2 linked regions of the Drosophila melanogaster genome follow. The protein of the gene in region 1 interacts with the protein of each later gene in a biochemical or structural test. Each region holds a gene or a part of one and is shown on either strand. Other genes may lie near its edges. The genes, in order: neb and Pp1-87B.

Region 1 (10,387 bases):
GCAACAGCACCATTTCTCCTCGATTCCGGCCATTTGGCAAGTGCGATTGAAGGGCAGCTCGAAGAAAAGCGACTGACAGCTCTTACACTGCCTTGCCCTTAGATTATCCGGGAACTCATCCACGGACTTGCTATCCAACTGGAGCAAGTGCTGGAGCGTCATGTACACATCGTAGTTGGACGAGAGTCGATTCTGGTTCTTGCCGAGATTACTCGCCAAATGGGGATACTTGCGCCGGAACCAGGGTGGCAAGTAGATGAACATCATCGGCATGCGCTCCTCGAAATACCCAGTGGAAGCCCGCCTCAAAGTGTTATACCGGTGGCCATGATCACTCATCAGAATCACAATGGACTTCTGAAAGAGATTGGACTCCTCGAAGGACTTTAGATACTTCCAGAGCAGGTTGTCCAGTGCAGTGGCTCCCTCGTAGTAATCGTGGGTGAAGCTATTGCTCCATAGAAAGCCGAACATTGGGGATCTGCCGAGGAAGCGATCGATGAACTGCTGGCCAAAGTCCCAGACGTAGCTGAAGCTGAGGTGGCGACCCACGCAGTAGGCAAATCCGAAGTCATTGGTCACTTTAAATTGTTTTTCGATGGCGAAAAGTAGTGGGCGAAGGTAGTAATCCGTTGGCTGCTTCACAAATCCCGGTTTCAGGTAATTGAAGGTACTAATAGATGAACAATCTTCGGCGAAGGCTGTTGTGTAGTTGGCTTTCTTGAAACGCTTCCAAATGAAGTTCAGGGAGTCCAAGCAGCCCGGCTTTGTGACATCACAATAATCCCCTACTCCCTTTTCGGAATCCCCTGTCAGCGCGGCCAGAAGATTGGGAAAGGTATTGTCGCCCACCTTATTGTAGCCCTGCATTTCGAACCAGCCGGGTTGTCTAACGAATTTGTAAACCGATGGCATGGCTCGTCGAAGATTTATGCGCGATGTGGAGTCCAGTCCCATGATCAGAACGCTCGGCTTGTGCACCTCACTTTCGTCCTTCACGAAATCCTTGACCTTCTCCTTTGGGAGGCGGTCCTCGATGAAGGAAATGGCATCCTGTTGCAGCAGCTCCCGGTGCTTGGTCACATCCCTCACGTAGCAACTGGTGATCATGTAGTCGGTGTTGTTCGGAACGAACTGGTGCTGCTCTATGGGCCGCCTTCTTAGCTGACTGAAAGAAATCCAATTGGGCTTATTAACAAAGTCAGAAAGCTTCTCTAATCTCCTTCAACCATTATCGGAATAATATTTATACATTCATATCTGCATGGTATGCTCATACTTACTTATAGGCATTGTCGGGCTTCTGGTCGGAGTTATCCCGTGAAATCTCCTGGTACTCGCACTCCAGGGTGGCATTGCCCTTCCTGTTCATAATGGGCTTGGCCAGGTGCTCGTGCACATGCAGTCGGTACTGATGTGTCTCGAAGTCGAATTCACTCGTTACCATGTCGCTGTCGTTGTGGCAATGCCTTAGCGTCTTTCTGTGGAAATTACTCATTGTGTCCCACGTGAAGGGATTCACGGCGGGCATCTGGCACACCGGACTATATACATAGTAATCATCTGCGCCCTGAACAAGGTTCTCGATCCAAAAACCAAAGCATATTACGATTAAAAGGGCTTGAAAGTCCTTACGCGACAGCGTCATGATCACCTTTGACTGCAGCATTTTCATTGGCGGACCGAAAGTCTCGTTTAATAATTGCATTCACAACGCTTGGCTAATTTAACACGAAAAGCATGAGCGTTTCTTTTCGAATTATTTCGAAATATAACAACTTATTAATACCCATATATATCTTTGTTCATACAGAGTTAGTGACCAGAGGGTCTACCGCCTGGGCATCCGATCGACGACCGTCTGGGCTGTTGCGGTGTTCTGCTGGATCAATGACCGGATCTTCTGCGAGGCCTGGTCCTCGATCAATTTTCCATACCTGCACGGCTTCTGGCACATATTCATTTTTATAGCCGCCTACACGGTGCTGGTGCTTTTCGCCTACTTCTACGTGGAATCGGAGCTGCCCCAGCGACAGCCGCTGCTGAAGTACTGGCCAAAGAACGAGTTCGAGTTCGGGATACCCTTCATTTCGATCCGGAATCCAGGTAAGGCTCTGCGCAACACCATCTAAGGACGATTGCGCCGGAATGGAGAGCTGGCAGAGAAGTGACCAAAGACCAAGCGATAATATCGTACATGCTTTAAAACCATACACAATTATTGTAAAATTGCGGCAACGTAATTGTAGCGCACACTTTTTATATAGTTGAAACAGTTTATTAGCCATAGATGTATTTATATTAAGCAAACGAATCGGATTCGCGGTTGTACCCAAAAGAGATAAGTCTGTTAACGCCTTAAGATTCGGTGCACCTGAACACTTGGGCCTAAAACAATAATAGTAGCGCCCTGCTTAGTCCATAAATGAATGGGCGATTGCTCCGTGGAACTATTGTAGAAAGACATATCTAAATGATGTTTATTGTTCCGTCTATCCCCTAAAATGAGTTTAATCAAAGTCTTCTAACCCGTTCTATGAGTATGAGTTACCATCAGACTGTGATATGTTATGAACTAATTCATCCCATGACTTCCAGAACAAATGGTTCCTACGCTTTCCCAAAGAGACAAAAAATCGTATTAGGTTGTCAGTACCTGAATTTGTTAATTGTCTAATTTACGCAAACTAACCAACTAACACCTACACTTATTCTGGATTGGAAATCTACTAGCATGTAGCAGTAACCACAACTAAAACACTAAACAAAGTAGAGATCGTTGCTCAAAGTATTATGCAATCCAAATCATTCAACCCGCTACCTTGCTGATTCCACAGATTCGAAAGATTGGCTCGTCTACTGCAGTCTGTACATGCAGGACTATGACTATGACTACAAGCACCGAAAGAACTAAGGCAAGAAATCGGGTGGAGAGCCTTCTCCAAACAGAGACATACACAGCGTGATATAAGTTAGAGTTGCAGAAGGTGGAACAACTAAATTATTTATTAACTACAAAGCTCGCCTGCTCATCGCGGAAACCAAATTATGTATAGATGCCATATGGAGCGATAGTTTAGGAAGTATGTATGATTTACTTAGGCTAAACGAATGTCGACAAATATACTGTGTTAGGAATGCAAGCTCTCTTGTTTAATCGCAATAAAGAATAGTATTTCAGTTGCCTTTGTTTTATTCAATATTATGTTGCATTAACATATTTTACTCCTACATACTGTGTAATTCGTATAACTTTTCATTCCCTTACATGGTAAGTGTCCTTTTCTACGCGCGTGCTTAAGAGGTTGGCTGAGTCTTCGCTGATCATTGGTCCAATCAAAAAATTCGTTAGGCGATGTCACAATCTTCGAATGTTCAATCCGAATCCGACGAGATGTTGGTGCACGAATCGTGAGCGATGCGTTTGTTGATGGGGTTGTAGATGCCATTGAGCGGATACGGGCCGCGGTAGCTGATAATGTTCTTTGGGGTCTCATGGATCTTCACCTCGTACAGCAGCTCCGGCTTCTTCAGCTGCAGACGGATGTTGTCCCAGATGTAAACGGCCAAGTTTTCTGTGGTGCTTGGCTGGGGGGGATAGATATAAAGGATAAGTACGGTAAGTTGTGTTGTGCTTGCTGGTTATTTACTGTATTGGCAAAGTATTCGACATCCTTATCGAGATTCTTGTGGTCCAGGCGCTTCATAATCACAGTTTCTATAGCCTCTTTCAGCTCGGTGATGTTTAGCACCATTCCGGTTCGCCGATCGATGGGACCACGGACGGTTATCTCAACTGAAAAGATCACAAAGGATTATAAAAGAACATCTTTCGTAGTCTATTCACACATTTTTTGGTATAATTTGGTATAATCGGCATCGAGTCAAGCTTGAGTTCTTAAGGTTTAGCTATTGACAATCTAAATATAATCCAAATTTCTAATCAGTTGAGCACTTGCGACACTTTATGCTCGTTCAGAACCATTATTCATTATCAATTCTCGGTCGCCAGTCAACATATTGATTGCCTTTGAGCGTTGAACTTGAATATGGTTTTGATAAGCGAGCTTGTCGGCCAAGGTTTTGCTATGGTTAGGCACCACTTTGGGCTCAAATTACCAGTTTAGTAGGGGGTTAAGCCTGATTGAGCCGGGGTTATGTGATAATAAGTGTGGCACTTTGCAGGTAATCATGCGACTAAGTGTATTTAAGGGGTATTTTTTTTTTTACCTGTATAGTTGTGTCCGTGGCCGTGGAAATTGTTGCACTTGCCGAAGACTTCCAGATTCTCGGCGTCGCTCAATTGGGGACTGAAGAGAAAATAGATGCAGCAATCAATTTAAATCGAACTGAATTGGTTTGCCAGCCGTGATTGAATCAGGCAATTGAATGATTCAATTTGATTCAATCTAATTACCTATGGAGACGATGGCAGGCGCTGAAAGTTTCGCGACGGGTTAAAAAGGCAACAGGTTGCTGCGACATTTCAAGTCCGATTTATACTATATATCTGGATCTGTATCTGGATGTGGATTTATATATGCGGCTGATCAGCTGCGCGCTTTGGCAATGTTTTACAATGAATGCAAAACCTGCTTTTGAGCCGCGCTTATTTATATGGTACTTGGATCGAGGGAACAAGGAAATATAAGCCACAAATGCGGCGACTGCGATATCAACACGCTCGGAACTAGTTTCTCTGAACTTTTCGAGTGCGGCTAATTGCAGCTGATTAGCGATTGATGTTCCCTCGTTTTCTGTTGCAAGTGCCTATGCGTGCTGCAAAGACAGGGTGTGGTATGCTATAGCCATGGTAACAAACTCAATTCAGCAAGGAACTCACCTTTAATTGCTATGGATTTTCAATAATATTTACTTTTGTCTACGTTGCTCGTCAACAGCTGCTCCCGATAACAAGGCAGCGCGTATCGGTTATCGGCCAGAGCTGAGCAGTTTGCCGCCACAACTGTTCTCAGTGATTTACAACTGCACAAATAGACTATTGTATGGGTAGAAATCCTTACACTATTACAATTTCGCTATATATTTATTTATTTCATGTTAGTTCTTTGTCAATTATCTCATAATTTAAATGAGCTGATTAACAGAGTTAGCTAACAGAGTATGTAAGTGCTGTTCATCCCTGGCTCGTGGTGGCGTTGCCGGACCTCACGCCGCTCACTGTAATCAACCCTGCTTTGCTATCGATCGCCGCCCTTCACTAGAAAAAAAATAACAAACGACGCCGCGCAATAATTCGAAACTCTTCGGCGTTATTTAAAAAACGAGCAGAGATACCTAAATAATAATCTAGACATGAGCAACAAGAGCACTCCGGTGCGGCAGCGCATCCAGCAGTTCCAGACGCGAGGAGTCCACAAATCCACGCCGGCATCCGAGATGCGCAAGAAGGTGCTGATGACGCGGGCGGAGGATCGGGAGCACCGGGATCGTCCCGAACAGCTGCTGAACACTGCATTCAGCGGGAGCACGCCACAGCCGAAGCCCAAGCCCACGGCCCTGAATGCCTGCTACACACCCTCGTCGCTGTACAGGAATGCGAACTCTACTCCTGGAAGAGCAAAGACGCCCGGCACCGGGAAATCCAGCTGCAGCAGGACAAAGGAGCGGGACTCTCTGATGGAGTCCTGCCTCAGCGTGTCCGAGGAGAGCAACATGATTGTGGCGGTGCGAGTGCGGCCACTGAATGCCCTGGAATGCACACGTGGTCAGGTCACCAATGTGGTCCAGGTGCACGGAAACAGCAACGAGCTGACTGTCCAAGCGGGCAGCAGTGCTGATGCCTCCGCCGGCGTGACGCACTTCTTCAGCTACGACCAGGTCTACTACTCGTGCGATCCCGAACGAAAGAACTTCGCCTGCCAGGCCAAAGTCTTTGAGGGCACAGCGCGTCCCTTGATCGACACTGCCTTCGAGGGCTACAATGCCTGCTTGTTTGCCTACGGCCAGACGGGCTCGGGCAAATCGTACAGCATGATGGGCATTGAAGCATTGGATGACGCCGCTCTGGATGGCGGACCGCCGCACGATGAGGCGGGCATCATTCCACGCTTCTGCCACGAGCTATTCCGCCGCATAGAGGCTGTGAAAAGTCAGCAGCAGCTGCAGGTGGAGGTGGAGGTCAGCTACTTTGAGATCTACAACGAGAAGATACACGATCTGCTGAGTGTCCAGCATGCGGCAGCTGCCACCGGGGAATCCACGCCCATCCAGCAGCAACAACAGCAGCAGCGTCCGGCTCTAAAGGTCAGGGAGCATCCCATCTTCGGGCCCTACGTAGTGGACTTGAGTGCCCACTCGGTGGACTCGTACTCGGCACTCCGCAACTGGCTTGCCGTGGGCAACTCCCAGCGGGCCACTGCCTCCACGGCCATGAACGACAAGAGCTCGCGCTCACACTCCATCTTCAACATTGTCCTAAACCTCACCGATCTGAGCAGTGACGATGGCCTGTCCTCGGATACGGACTCGAGCACGGCCTCCTCCCTGCGGCAGACGCGGCGCAGCAAGATTAGCCTGGTGGACCTGGCGGGCAGCGAACGCATTAGCGTCTCCGGATCGAACGGCGAGCGGATCCGCGAGGGCGTCAGCATCAACAAGAGCCTGCTGACGCTGGGGAAAGTAATTGCTGCTCTCGCCGATTCCCGCAAGGCGATCGCCAATGGACCCCTGGGCTCTGGGACGCCCAGCACCTTCGTTCCCTATCGCGAGAGCGTGCTCACCTGGCTGTTGCGGGTAAGTGTTACGAAATAGTTCTTAGCTGCGTTTGTACTTATCAACCGGGTCAGTAGGTTGGTCTACTTTCGGCTAATGATAACTCTTTCTTATCCCCTTGGTTTTTGAAATCAATAATTGTACCCAGAAGTGATTGCTAAGTATGTGTTTCGAATAAGTTCAGCTCAGTAAAACCTTATAACCTCATGTCTTCAATATAAATGCATATGTATATTCGCAATGCTTTCCGCACTTTTGCCACCACCGATAGGATTGCTTATCAACACTTTCGCTTCGATTAGGCAGTGGCCCACGGAATGGGGTCCCCTTGCAATCAGTAATTACCCGGAAAGCAATCAGTACGTAGAACTGCACTGCAACATGCAAATGACACGTTGACCCCTGCGGAAAGTACCCACAAAATGTTCGTACGGTCAAATGTTTACTTAACTGGCTGGCAGATATTCGTCTTTTCAACAGATCTCGTGATGAGCTATGAAGCCCACTGTCTACAGAGATATCATCTCGACTCGCGCGACACGCGAATTCTGTTTTAATGATGTCTGCACTGCGAGGAGCAGCTGCTAGACAGATTTATGTTGGCTCTATCAATTAACTGGGGTGCTAATTACTTTAATTAAAATAAAGCGTCAAATTGTCCGAAAAAAACAAGGAAAAGAAGACGACAACATCAGCCAGAGATTAGATTGAGTTTATCTGCGCTTTATAGGACTAAATATGAGAGATCTCGAGTTCTAAACTCGAACCTTGTTATCATTCGTTTGTTTATTTTGTTTGCTAAGATTGCCAGCAGACTTAGTGTATTTTTTATTATTATTATTTCCTTATCATTTTCGATAGGAAAGCCTTTTATTAAGGTCTACCAAATCAAAGACCTCCCGCACCTCAATCAATTGAGTGATTAAAATTTTGGCCTCTTATCATATCTATTTAATCTATTGTTGTTGCTTTTCCTATGTGACCATAAAATTTATGACCTGATACAAAGGCGCACGTGTAAACTTTCTAGAAATTTATTTTAAGAACGCGAATAAAAAGATAGCAGTGTCTTCACCCGGGTAATATAATTATTTTGTTATAAAACCTCAGCAAATGCTTACATAGCATTAGCAGGAAAATTGTTATAAACTTGTCATGAGACTTGAATGTTGTGCATTAGTTAACATATTAGCTACTTGTTTCACGATTGTTTGAATTGAGTAACGACTGCGTTTTCTTTAGCAATCAATGTAACATACTTATGTGTGCATTTTAAGTTAACAACTGCTCTTAAGCGAACGCCACACGTTCGTAATAACTTGATTGTTGGAATATTACCAGGCTAGTTAATCCGAAAGTGAGGGTTTTATATAATACAAGTATCTGGCTTCTAAAAAAAGGCGCACTCGACATTTGCGACGTAATTTATAATCATTCGACTGCATTCAATGAGTAATTACATGGCGCCCACAAGTGAGAGGCTCTTGATCGAAAGTCCAAACACTTGTCTTTTTTCCCGAAACCCGTTCCACTGAGTGTTATTTAGTGTCCAGTGTCCACTTTGCTTTTCGTTACGGTAGTACGGCCCATAAAATGGCTCACATGATTTATTTCCGTACGCGGCCTTTGCCATAAAAGGTGAAGACAAATATTTCTTGGAATGGCGTCGTAGGTCCGTAGGGGACTCTCGCAGCCAGCGTAGTGACGAAACGCACCAGATTGTGGTTGCCCAATCCATCTTTAAAATCATTGAAAGATTTAGATGGTTTAGATTTAGGGTTTGTATGTTGATTGTTACTAGTTGTTTTCACCCCTTTAAAAGGAGGGGGGTTTTGTTGTGTTTTTTTTTTATATATCAGCCGACCTTGTTTTTTGCCTCTGATATTTTTGGGCTTCCATGGTTCCTATCTATCCGTGAAGTACTTTTCCTATCTTTGCATACGACACAAAAGTTCCATCTACATCTTCACTTGCCACCCCATAGATTTAAAAATACTTTGCAGATAATGCTTTATTTGGTATTTTTGTGCGGTACTTCGGCACTAAAACATTATAACACTTGATACGTTATCGCGTCTCCTAAGTTGCGACACCAACAATTTCAATTGTTGCTGTCGTTGTTGACGTTTTCCACATTTACACGCTGAAGGCTCGCATTTGCAATTGCCCTTGCTCAGCTTTTTTCCATCCTTAAGAGCTGCAATAACAATTTGTACACAAAATGAATAATTTATATACAGATAGTTAGGATGGTAACTAAACGTTTACGAAGTGTATACAAGCCAATAAAGGTAATTGATGGCAGAGTATGTTACAATTAGCAAATATGTTTAGGCCAAGTAAAATCTAAAGTTAACCAGGATTTGGGTACAATGTAAGTAATGGGAGATGCTTTATAATCAAAATTGGTTGGTGTTTTATAACTTTAATTTTTAACATTAGTTGTGATTTGACATTTGCAGTCCGTTTTGTTTATTAGCACAGACTCGTCAATTTAAAGTCATATTTAAGTTCATTATCCAAAAAGCTCATTATTCGAAACAAAAAAAGAATACTGTTAATACTGTTATTTAACTGGCTTAATAACAGTCCACTTATATGAAAATGGTTTTGCACTACGGCTAGGTTTTGTAAAAGAATAATTCAATTTTTGATAGGTAATTAGAATAGTTGACATATTTTGATGTAAGTATTTCACTTTAAATACCATGGCCTAGCTATTAAGTTCACCTTGCGACTTGACTCCTCTGGAACTTTTCAGTTTTTGTAACAAGCGGTTCAGCATTTTTTGAAATGCAAAGGGATATATTCTGTTCTCCAAGAAATAAGTCCTTTTTTATTCATTAAACTATAGTTTTTTCTCAATTTTTATTAGTTTTGAGAACTCGTTGCGACCTTCACATGACTGGGGGAACTTTGGAACTGGAAATGCGGAGTCCCAAGCCAGCTTTCTAAATAAATTCCAAATTAACTTGCTCGTGTGCAAAGCCCTAGAAACCGCACTGAGTTCACAATCAGCATTTTCCGAGTTGGATTTGGAAAGCCACAAACACCGTTTAGATAGCCAGGGAATGTGGGATTTTGAATGAAATCCAGAAACATCGAATTGAATGCAAATGACGTAGGTTCACACGATTTCAAATTCGATTGATCTGCTGTTTCTAATACGTGTCTAATACGAAAAGCGTGCCACTGAGGATACGTCAGTTAATTATTTTCGTAATTAGCAACAGGCGAGTTGTCTGTCGCCGTTATGAATTTTCAAATAAGCCACGTTTTCAGTTCACAAATGAATGCTAATTATGTGAACTGAAAAAATTTGACATACGAGTAGTAACCAGATTAATTATTCACAAGATTTCGACTAACTGAGCCATTCAATAATGTAAATAGTAGTAGTTATAAATAGTATAGTATAGTATAGTAGTTATAAATTCAAAAGTTTGTATCTCTGACCCACGTTGGCATAACAAAATGCTTCGAACGTGTGCTCTCCGTTCCAGTTTCCCGCATAACAACAATTGTAATTTAAGCCACACTGTTTAATAATATATTTAGCCCCAACCAAGTGGTTAGCATTGGAATATAAAATGAGTCGAATTCGATGCACAAACAACTGAATATGTATATGGCTTCCTCCCCGCGAGTTGTT
Region 2 (10,068 bases), on another chromosome or scaffold:
AGAGGGTAAAGTCATACAATAGACATAAAGTTACCTTTTATTGATTCGTTATCTTTGTAGAGCCAACCACGAATAACAGACATGTTGGTCACCAGACCAACCACTCAACCTGAGCAGAGGCCGAGTGAAACCAAAGTACTAACTACGACAGCAGAAATTGTTCAGGTCGCGGCTCCTTCGGCTCCCAGAAGAACACTACCGGTGGTCTTAACTGTAGCCAGTTCCCCCATGCGTATTCCAATGGCAAAGCCGGCCAAAAAGTTCCCAACCGGTGCAATCTCTCACCAGCAGCAGCAGCAGCTGAACTTTATCAGACTGGGCCCATCACCTGGCAAACGAATTTCGGAGACGTTATGTGTGGTCTGCAAGCGACCGGCGAGCACCTCTTCCGTCTATTGTGGCGAAGAGTGCATCCGGAAGTATGCCCAAAGTGCAATTCAAGCACATGCTGCTACCAAAGGCCCATTGCCACAGAATGCCGGTGCTCAGTCTTTGCTGAACAACTCCTTCGATGCCAAAAAGAACAAGAAGAAGGACTTGTTTGAGGACGTGCTGAGGCAAGCGGACACTGTGTCAAAAGTGGAACGGGTATGCAATAAAGGTTAATTTAATTAGAACTATACAACAAATAATGTGCACACTTTGCTTTGCAGATTAATGTGTTTGAGCGTAAAAGTGGTCGGGTTATCACCGGGCACATGGCCCCTTCTGCACATCAGTTTCGGAAATGGCTTCAGGAGAATCCCTCCTTCGAGGTGCTGCCCTCAGGAACCGTTCAGTCAGCCGACGCAGAGAAGCGTTTGCTGAAAGGGGCACCGGAAGCCGCCACCTCAACTTCAGAACCCGCCGTGCTAGGAGTTGCAAAAAAGCCACCTGAAGGTCCTGCCAAATTGTCCCATCCCCAAAACACCACAGTTCAGGCAAGCCACCAACTTGGAATCTCTTCCGTGCGTCCTTTGGCCAAAAAGGATAAAGAGAAGACAACACCTACAGTACAGGCGCCAACCCCTAATCGTATCGCAGCGGGCAAACCCGAGCCGGTTCGAATCGGCATCCGGCGATCACTCAGGGAGCAACTACTAGCGCGAATCAAAGAAGCTCAGGCTGCCGAGGAGAACTCTGGCCAGCCAACGACTCAGTGGCCGACCGTACTTGAGGTGGATCAGTTTGTCAAGAACGTGGAGCTGGAAATGTTCAACTCGTTTGGCCGAGACGTGGGAGCCAAGTACAAGGCCAAGTATCGATCGCTTATGTTCAACATAAAGGATCGCAAGAACCGAACGCTTTTCGAAAAGATTTGTGCCAAGCAAGTGGAGCCCAGGCAGTTGGTGCGGATGACGCCGGAACAGCTGGCCAGCCAAGAGTTGGCCAAGTGGCGGGAGGAGGAAAACCGTCACCAGTTGGATATGATCAAGAAATCGGAGCTGGACTTGTTGGCATGTGCCCAAAACTATGTGGTGAAAACACACAAGGGAGAGGAGGTAATCGCCACCAAAGTGGATGTTACGCTGCCCGAAGAGAACGTTAGTGAAGCATCATCTATGGCGGACACAAAACAGACGTCGCTGGTCAGTGAGCCGTCTACCTCCACACTGGAACGTTCCACGTCCAGGGAAAAGGCGGGTTCATCGAAGGAAAAGCGACACAAGAGCCACAAGCATCATCATCGAAAGCGCAGTCGAAGTCGTTCCAATAGTCGGGGTCGAAGCGTCGATAAGCGCCATCGCAGGCAGCACAACGAAGGAGGAGAGCAGCCAGGCAGCGGGGAGCGTGAGCATAGATCGCGTGAGAAACAGAGCCGGGAAAGGGATGAGATCGTTCCATCACCCTTGCCCAAGAAGAGGGACGAAAACGACCAATCGCCGGTACCCAAAAAGACGGCGGAAAAGAAAACCGAGGCGAGTGCTTACAACTTGGTTGATCAAATTCTGGAATCGGAGAAAACAGTCGAGCAGGCGGCGAATCTAGGCAAACCAAAGCCGTCACCCAAGCCACTTCCAACGCTTCCGAGTTCTTTGAAGGCACCTGAGCCAATGGACAACTACTCCCGCTACTTGCACGGCCTGACGACGAGTTCACTGTGGTCCGGTACTCTCAAGATGATCGATTTGGCCGACTTCGAAATCGTCATGTACCCCGTGCAGGGTAACTGCCATCAATTGGGTAACCTGATGCCAAGTCAGATGGACGTAATCGGTCGCATAACCCGCGTTAATGTCTGGGAATATATCAAGAAGCTAAAGAAGAGTCCCACAAAGGAAGTGGTCATTGTGAACATATTCCCCGCCTCGCCCAGCGAAACGTATAAGTTTGATCTCTTCTTCGAATACCTGGACTCGCGTCAGCGTCTGGGCGTCCTGGGCGTGGACTCGGATCAGATACGCGACTTTTACATATTCCCCTTGGGTAGCGGCGATAAGTTGCCACCAGCGCTGCAGACCGCGGAGCCAGTTCCCTTCTACGAAGAAGCGCAAAGACCCAACACGCTGCTCGGCATCATTGTGCGGTGTCTCAGCAAGCGACCTGCAGACGCTGTGCCATCGACTCCGTCTGTGCCTACTCCGGTTCCCGCCCTCAGTAGCAAAGTGGCAAAGGTAAGGAAATAGCAAATTATTCCATATTGAAAGTATGTACTATTATTCCCCTTTGCAGAGATCTCGCAGCTCGATCTCGTACCCGGCGCAGAGCAGTCCCAAACGCAAGATCAGCACACACTCCACCAGCTCCAAGGACGATGAGTTCGATATCGATGCCATTATCAAGGCGCCCATTGCTAAGCTGCAGAAAAGTAAGTTTAACATCTATACGTAAGAGGATGATGTTAATGGTTTTGTACCTTCAGCTGCCCCGAAGGTGGTGCCACAGCCATCGGTGCCGAACGACGCCGATGAACCCTACTCGCCTGGTGGCTCCGACGACGAACTGGTGCCAAGTGCTCCGCAAAGGCCGAACGATCTGGAACGGCAGGTGAACGAAATCAACAAACAAATAGCTGCGCAACAAATGGAAATTGCCGGCCTGCTTAAAGTGGAGCCCACAGTAAGTGCTGACCTCAGGCGACGCAAAATGTTTCCAATCCATTGCATTCATATCCCTGCTCGTTTTTTCCCAGGGATCCGCGTCCTCATCCAATGTGCTAGCCGCCATATCAATACCCGCAAATCTTTCAAAGATCCTGGCCAGCATCAAGGACAAGACTAATCTGCCTTCCAGTGCTGATGATGGAGACGAGGAATACAATCCCGAGGACGACATCACCGCAACCAGTTCATTTGGTACGTCAGCTGTGCTTACTCAAATATCAATTGGCATTAGTATCAACGATTCCTTTCCTGTAGCATCGAAGAAGCCGAGGAGCAAAGGCCGTTTGGCGCATCTAAGTGAAGCTGAGCTTCTTAGCATGGTGCCGGACAATCTGGCAGGCGTGATTCCCAGATCGTCTAGGACCCGCCACCAGCTTGCTCAGTCGCCGCTCACACCAACACCACTACCACCACCGCCGCCGCCGCCGGGTGTTTAGGTTACCCCCATCCGGACGGACGCTGGCTAACCCGCGCGCCAATCCGTTTTTCATTCTTGATTTGAATTGCCGCCCGCCCGCCCGCCTCATTGTGTACATTGTCATTAAGCAAATTCAACGCCATCTCTGTATTATATCTGGCCAATCGGAATTTTTTAGTTTTCAAAGCTAAAGCCACAACCCCATCATCCCGCCACAACCCAACCCGCCCCGAGCTCCAAATGGATCATCCTTCGCATTGCAATGCAAATTTAGATTCGGTTTTTACATTACGCTCTAACAAATCGTGTACATTTCCTCCGAAAATAAAAAGTGCTACGTAACATTTGTTTTAGGGATACGATAATCGTAACGCTGCACTTTATTTCCAAACGCACTTAGTTGATCTCGCAGGGATCGTCCTTGCCGCTGAAGTGGGCGCATGTGATCTTGGGTCCGTTGTGTACCCTGGGTATGGCGATCCGGAAGAGCGTTCCATGCGGCATGCACACGCAAATCTTGTACTGCACACTGCCCGTGCGGAGACCCAGCTCGGAGCTGACGATGGGAATGCGGTCCATGTCCAGAAAGATACCCGTGCCTGCCTCCAGGATGGTGGCGCCCTGCGTGGAGTTGATGAGAATGTGGTGCTCGGCCTGCATGTCAACGCTGGCTCCGTCGAAGTAGACGCCCTCGGATCCCCTGATGGCCATGCGTCCGTCGCTCTCCAGCACCAGGGACTCGTCGATGGGACTGACGATGCCGCTGGCACTAACCACTTTGGCCTGCAGCGCCTCCACTCCGCCCGGAATGTTATACTGCGGACGATGGGTGGTGAAAATCGGCTGCTTGTCGACGGGGTCCTTGACCTCGAACAAGTTCGTGGCCTGCACGAGGATACCCTCCCTGTTCAGGACGATCCTATCGCGTTCGCTGGCTGCTCCATTGCCATTGCGGAAGACGCGCACATGGACGCCGCCCTCGCCGTCACCAGCATCACTGCTGATGGTCACCGGGACATCCGAGAAGCCGTGTATCTGGCCAATCGAGTTCGTCTGCACGCGCTCCAAGTCCGTGGTACCGTAGAACTTCACCAAATCCACCTCGGGTATCACCTCCATGCCCTGGACACCTTTGCCCAGGCGAAGCACACCCACAATGGTGAGCGTCAGCAGAAGATTGCCAACGGTCAGCACCAGCAGCAACACCACAATGGTCCAGAAGGCGAACGTGTTGCGTCCCTGGTGACCCGGATGCAGGCGGGAGCAGCTGTCGCTGTTGTACTTCTCATCGAAGTAATCGCCCGTATCCGTTTTCGAGTCGTCGCGACAAAAGTCCAAGTCCGGCACAACTCCTCCAATGGGCAGCGTCACAGAGAGCGCGTTCTCCGAGTTGGCGTCGTCGGAATATGACGGCGATGGTCCACGGATGAAGGTGTTCTCGAATGTGTGCATCATTGGATTGAATTGAATTCCTGGCGAGTTGAACTCAAAAAACCGTTTGCACAATTGCTGTATTCAGTGCAAGGAAATTGGGCATGTACATGTGAGAGATTCAATTGTTGGACATGCGCAGTGCGTTCTCAGCCGCAAGTTTCGAAAAATCCGATATATTCGAATTTTGAATACTTTCGAAATATGAAAAAGTGGTTTCCAAATTATCTTTACAACGAGAAAGTCAATTTTCAAAAGTTAATATAACATTTTCAACTGCTAGAACTCAGTTACCAATATATATTTTTTAATGGAGAGCAGAACAAAAAAAAAACAATCAATTAAATGTAAAACACTGGTTTTCATAATCCATTTAAACTTTCAAAAATTGAATTTTAAAAGTGTAACCATAAAAAGTCAATTGGAACCGAACCAGTTCCGTATGATTGCAGCACGCAGCCCTGGCTTCAAGGGGGCTTGACTTTGGCATTTTTCGAAGTTGCGCCCACAGCCACACCGCACATCTCCATTTTGCAAAGATGTCCTTTAAGGTGAGCTTTTGTCCAAAAACTGATTGCCATTGGCTAAACAAGAGTCTCCCGCAATGACACAGCCCATTGACCCGAAGCGCGACGAGATCCGGCGCTATCTAGAGCGCGGCAGCGTCCTGGACTCGCTGACCAAGCTCTTCATACGCGTGATCAAGGAGCGGCCCGAGAATCCCATGGACTACATCCGTAACCACATCGGCGTGGTGCGCCACCAGCACGACAAGTACGAGCGCCTGCAGCAGGATCTGCAGCTGGCCAACGAGGAGATCCAGCGTCTGCGCGCCATCATCAACGGCATCAATCCCGACGTGCTCCAGGGTCATCAGCCAGTGGCTTCAAGTGAAGTAGTGGTCGCAACGGAGGCGCCACAGACCGTGGCCGAGTCCACTGAGGCGGCGGAGCAGCAGCAGCAGCAGCAGCAGCAGGAGAACGGCGAGACTGAGCTGGAGAAACCTAACGAAAGTTCGGCGGACGTTGCGGAGATAACTGCCGCTGTGGAGGCCTGCCAGATTGAGGGGAACTCGGTGGTGACCACCGATGAAGCCGCACAGCCAAGCCCAACCGTCCAAGCTGAAGCCAGTGGCTCCAGTGAGTAGATCTCAGATGACAGCAGCACGTGCCAGCACACACCAAACGTAAAAACAAAAACATCCCATTTAGAACGCATTCATTTAGAAGAAATGTTAAGTATTTTCCGGAATTTACATGTAAATAAAGCGAAATAAAGCATGAGCGCATGCAGCGTATTATGGATTTTTCAAATGTGTTTATTGAAATCAGTTTCATAATTCATACACGTTTTATATCATTTGTTTATTAATACAAAGGATTATTGATAATACATATTAATAATAGTTAATTTTTAAAAAACACATCCTTAAAATGACGGGAAGCGGACGTTTGAATAGCTGATGAATGGTAAGGAGTTTTAGGGACAAACTAATATATTTCGCTGATTTTCTTGCAGATATTTCTCTGGCTGGCTGGCTGGCTGGTCCATTCGGTCGGACTGCATTGTGGACGAACAAAAAAAAAACTGATTCAAGGTCGAAACTTAGTGCTTATAATTCCTCTTTATACTTCTTGGCAAGCATTCGCCTCCACCTCCTCGGTTCAACGATTTCCCCTCTTCGATTTTTTGTTTCTTGTTTTGTTTTCACTTGCTCTATACTCTTAAGGCCAACGAGCACTACAGGGCCCCCACATCTGTATGCTTTGTGACCGACTGGCGTCCAGTCGCTCCTCTGCTGCTCCGTTTCCATCTAATCTGCATGGTTATGCGCTTGGTGCTCTGCTCGAACGGTCAGTTGATTAACCTAGTGTTTAAATTTTGGACAAAACCTATAAAAGCGCTGGTGTTCAAATGTGTGTACATGTGTGTGCGTGGGTGAATGGTTGGTCGGTCGGTAGATATACATATATATATATATATACGGGGGCTATTACAAATAAATATGTGGCTTTTAATCATGGTATTTGTCAATGTGTTTGTAATTGCGATTTAAATCTCAATGGGTGTGGGGTGGAAGGGGAAAACTGCAGTCATCTGCTGGAAGGGATGTCTCTGGGGATGTCCTTTGATCGTGGCGCTGCTATTCCATACCAAATTAATGGTGCAATTTCTTGTGGATTTCGACTCGCCCCGGCTGCCGATGATAAAAGTGACCAAAAACAGAGATAAGGTTGGGGTGAGAGTGTGATTCACTAGTTTGTTACTCTGCGTCAGCAGCCCATACTTACGTTTCATGCATCATTTGATGTGTTGTTTCAAAGGATTTTATTTCTGGTTGATTGTGTGGTTGGGTTTGTGGTTGTTTTTGTCGTGTTTATCTTTTGTATCTTGTTTGGATTTCTTATTGATCTGTTTTAGATAGAAAAAGACTGCTCGTGGTGCTGCAGTTGTGTGATATTACTTTTTACGCTTGTCGGCTGGCTTGAGGATTTGGAACGAGCACATCAGCGTATCGTCCACGGACATCATGGCGCCGGCATTGTCGAACTCGCCGCAGTAGTTGGGCGCCGAGAACAGGGTGACCAGCATGCGTTTGGCAAAGAACTCGTACCCATCCTCGACGACTTGATGGGCTCGGCAGATGAGATCGAACTCGTGCTTCTGCAAAAACTTGGCCACCACCTCGGCACCGAAGGTGAAGCTAACGCCGCGGTCGTTTTCGCCCCAGCCCATGGTATCCTTATCGGGATCGGACCACAGGAGATCGCACAGCAGTCCCTGGTCGGGCACATCGGTTGGCCGCATAATGCGACGGATCTGCTCCATGGAGGTCAAATCGGGACTGAGACCACCGTGGCAGCAGAAGATCTTCTCGTCGACAATGGCCGCCACTGGCAGGCAGTTGAAGCAGTCCGTGAATGTCTTCCACAACTTGATGCTGTAGCGACGCTTGCATTCGTCGTAGAATCCGTATATGCGATTAATGCTGGCGCATTCGTGGTTGCCGCGCAGCAGGAAGAAATTCTCCGAGTATTTGATCTTGTAGGCGAGCAGCAGGCAGATCGTCTCCAGCGATTGCTTGCCGCGATCGACGTAGTCGCCGAGGAACAGGTAATTCGATTCCGGCGGAAAGCCGCCGTACTCGAACAGACGCAACAGATCGTAGTACTGTCCATGGATGTCGCCGCAGATCTTCAACGGTGCCTCTAGCTCGAGCAGAATGGGCTGCGACAGGAAGATCTCGCGCGACTTCAAGCAAAGTCCCCGGATCTCGCCCTCCGAGAGCTGTACGTTTTTACCTGGCCGTGCCCCACGCACCTCGAGAAGTCGCGATATTATGCTGTCGATATTCATCACGTCGCCCATGTTTGCGTGCGAAAGTGTGGATCTGGTGCACTAGTGCTGCTGTTGGGTGTCGAGGTTACCGCGAACGATCGTTGGTAGCGCCGAAATAGCCTCGAAATCTTTAATTTCCGAAATCTATTTCTGCTAAATACTTTTCACAGCTAACAAGTATGAAAATTTCTTCGTATGCTGTTGCGTGAGTGCGGGCGGGATGGCGAGTGTGCTTCTAGCTGATGTTGCCACACTGCCGGAAGTCGCGGATATGGCCAGATAATAGACGCCATCTTATCTAATCGATAACATGCAAATATAGTGCATAATCGATAACGAAGTTGCTGTAATATTACTCTTATTACATTAAGGACATTTCCAATCCATTGCAAGAGTTCCGCAATAGCTCTACTTTTATATTTTCATTCGAAACGGGTCTTCTCGACCCTATAGTGGCTCGAAACTGCTGTTAGTAATCGATTAAACGCATGGCGTCCAGTTACTCTATTTCAGCGGTGTGGCAGCCTGATCAGGGGGACACTAGCCATCCCGCTTGCACTCAGGCACGCCTGGCATGACTTACTGTGGAAAAGAGATGGGAGACTGATGCATTTGGCGAGGCTATTCGATATACCGGTAACAAGGGGATATTTAAATACATTGGAAATTCAAATAAGCCAATAAGAATATTCGTTTACAGAACATAGGTTAATTCATTTTCCTTATTGGAATAACTTCCACATGAGTTATGATTTAAAATGCCAAATTTCCCTTAAATTCTCACAAAACTAAATAATATATTGATAGATATATTAACAATCACACTATGTAAAAATTTTGTATGAAATGTGCTCATGTCTTGTTATCGATAATTCGATACTCTATGCATTTCCTGCCTACGCCCGCTAATCATTTAATTAACTGTTAAATAGGCGGGTTTCAATTTAATCAAAATGCTGTTAAACGATATCATAAGCGGAAAATTAGTTGATTCCGTCTATATTATAGCGGAAATTGGCCAAAATCACCAAGGTTGTGTGGAAACAGCGAAGAAAATGATATGGGAGGCCAAAAAAGCCGGTTGCCACTGCGTCAAGTTTCAAAAATCGGATTTGCCAGCAAAGTTTACGAGATCCGCTCTAGATCGCGAATATATCAGTGATCACGCCTGGGGAAAAACGTACGGGGAGCACAAGGAGTACCTGGAGTTCTCCAAAGATCAGTATCTCCAGCTGCAGGCCCACTGCAAGGAGTTAAATGTGGACTTTACGGCTTCCGCCATGGATGAGGTTGATATTAATTAATTGTTAACCAATTACTACTACTAACAATTCCTTTTTTCCCTTGTTTCTTGCTTAAATAGTTATTAATGTGTGTATATGCTATTTTAAACAGAGATCGTTGGAGTTCCTTTCTGCTCTAAATGTTCCCTTCATCAAAATTGGTTCCGGAGACGCAAACAACTTTCCGCTTCTCAAAAAGGCCGCCAATTTGAACTTGCCCCTGGTGATCTCCACCGGAATGCAGACTATGCAAACTGTGGAGAGGATTGTGCAAACTATGCGGGAGTCAGGAAAAGAGGACTACGCTCTAATGCACTGCGTTTCATCGTACCCAACTGACCCAAAAGATTGCAGCTTGCAGTTGATATCCGTCTTAAGGACACGCTTTCCCAATGTGGCAATTGGGTACTCGGGTCATGAGCTGGGAGTGATCATTAGCCAGGCCGCCGTCTTGCTGGGAGCACGCATAGTGGAGCGCCACTTTACGCTGGACAAGAGTCAGAAGGGCTCCGAT

The links.
Region 2: the proteins of neb (region 1) and Pp1-87B form a complex in vitro, tested with the Drosophila melanogaster proteins (one study listed by BioGRID).

The regions. Positions count from the first base shown.
Region 1 is NT_033779.5:20,070,541-20,080,927, forward strand, and holds the start of neb (nebbish), read left to right. Parts: upstream 1-5,216; 5' UTR 5,217-5,316; coding exon 5,317-6,756; intron 6,757-8,729; exon of another isoform or gene 8,730-8,777; coding exon of another isoform or gene 8,778-8,932; intron 8,933-9,465; coding exon of another isoform or gene 9,466-9,520; exon of another isoform or gene 9,521-9,656; intron 9,657-10,387. Other genes in the region: bwa (brain washing), read left to right, coding at 1,814-2,106, 2,838-2,914; CG10730 (uncharacterized protein), read right to left, coding at 1-1,168, 1,284-1,648; pr (purple), read right to left, coding at 3,376-3,588, 3,651-3,796, 4,231-4,310, 4,418-4,485.
Region 2 is NT_033777.3:12,417,388-12,427,455, forward strand, and holds Pp1-87B (protein phosphatase 1 at 87B), read right to left. Parts: upstream 8,531-10,068; 5' UTR 8,302-8,530; coding exon 7,393-8,301; 3' UTR 7,224-7,392; intron 7,130-7,223; 3' UTR 6,234-7,129; downstream 1-6,233. Other genes in the region: pps (protein partner of snf), read left to right, coding at 1-5, 61-588, 654-2,594, 2,653-2,788, 2,843-3,039, 3,113-3,275, 3,339-3,520; Scgbeta (sarcoglycan beta), read right to left, coding at 3,898-4,956; CG17202 (uncharacterized protein), read left to right, coding at 5,472-5,483, 5,546-6,079; NANS (N-acetylneuraminic acid synthase), read left to right, coding at 9,225-9,560, 9,667-10,068. UniProt on the Drosophila melanogaster protein: Is essential for the regulation of mitotic chromosomal segregation as well as regulation of chromatin condensation during interphase.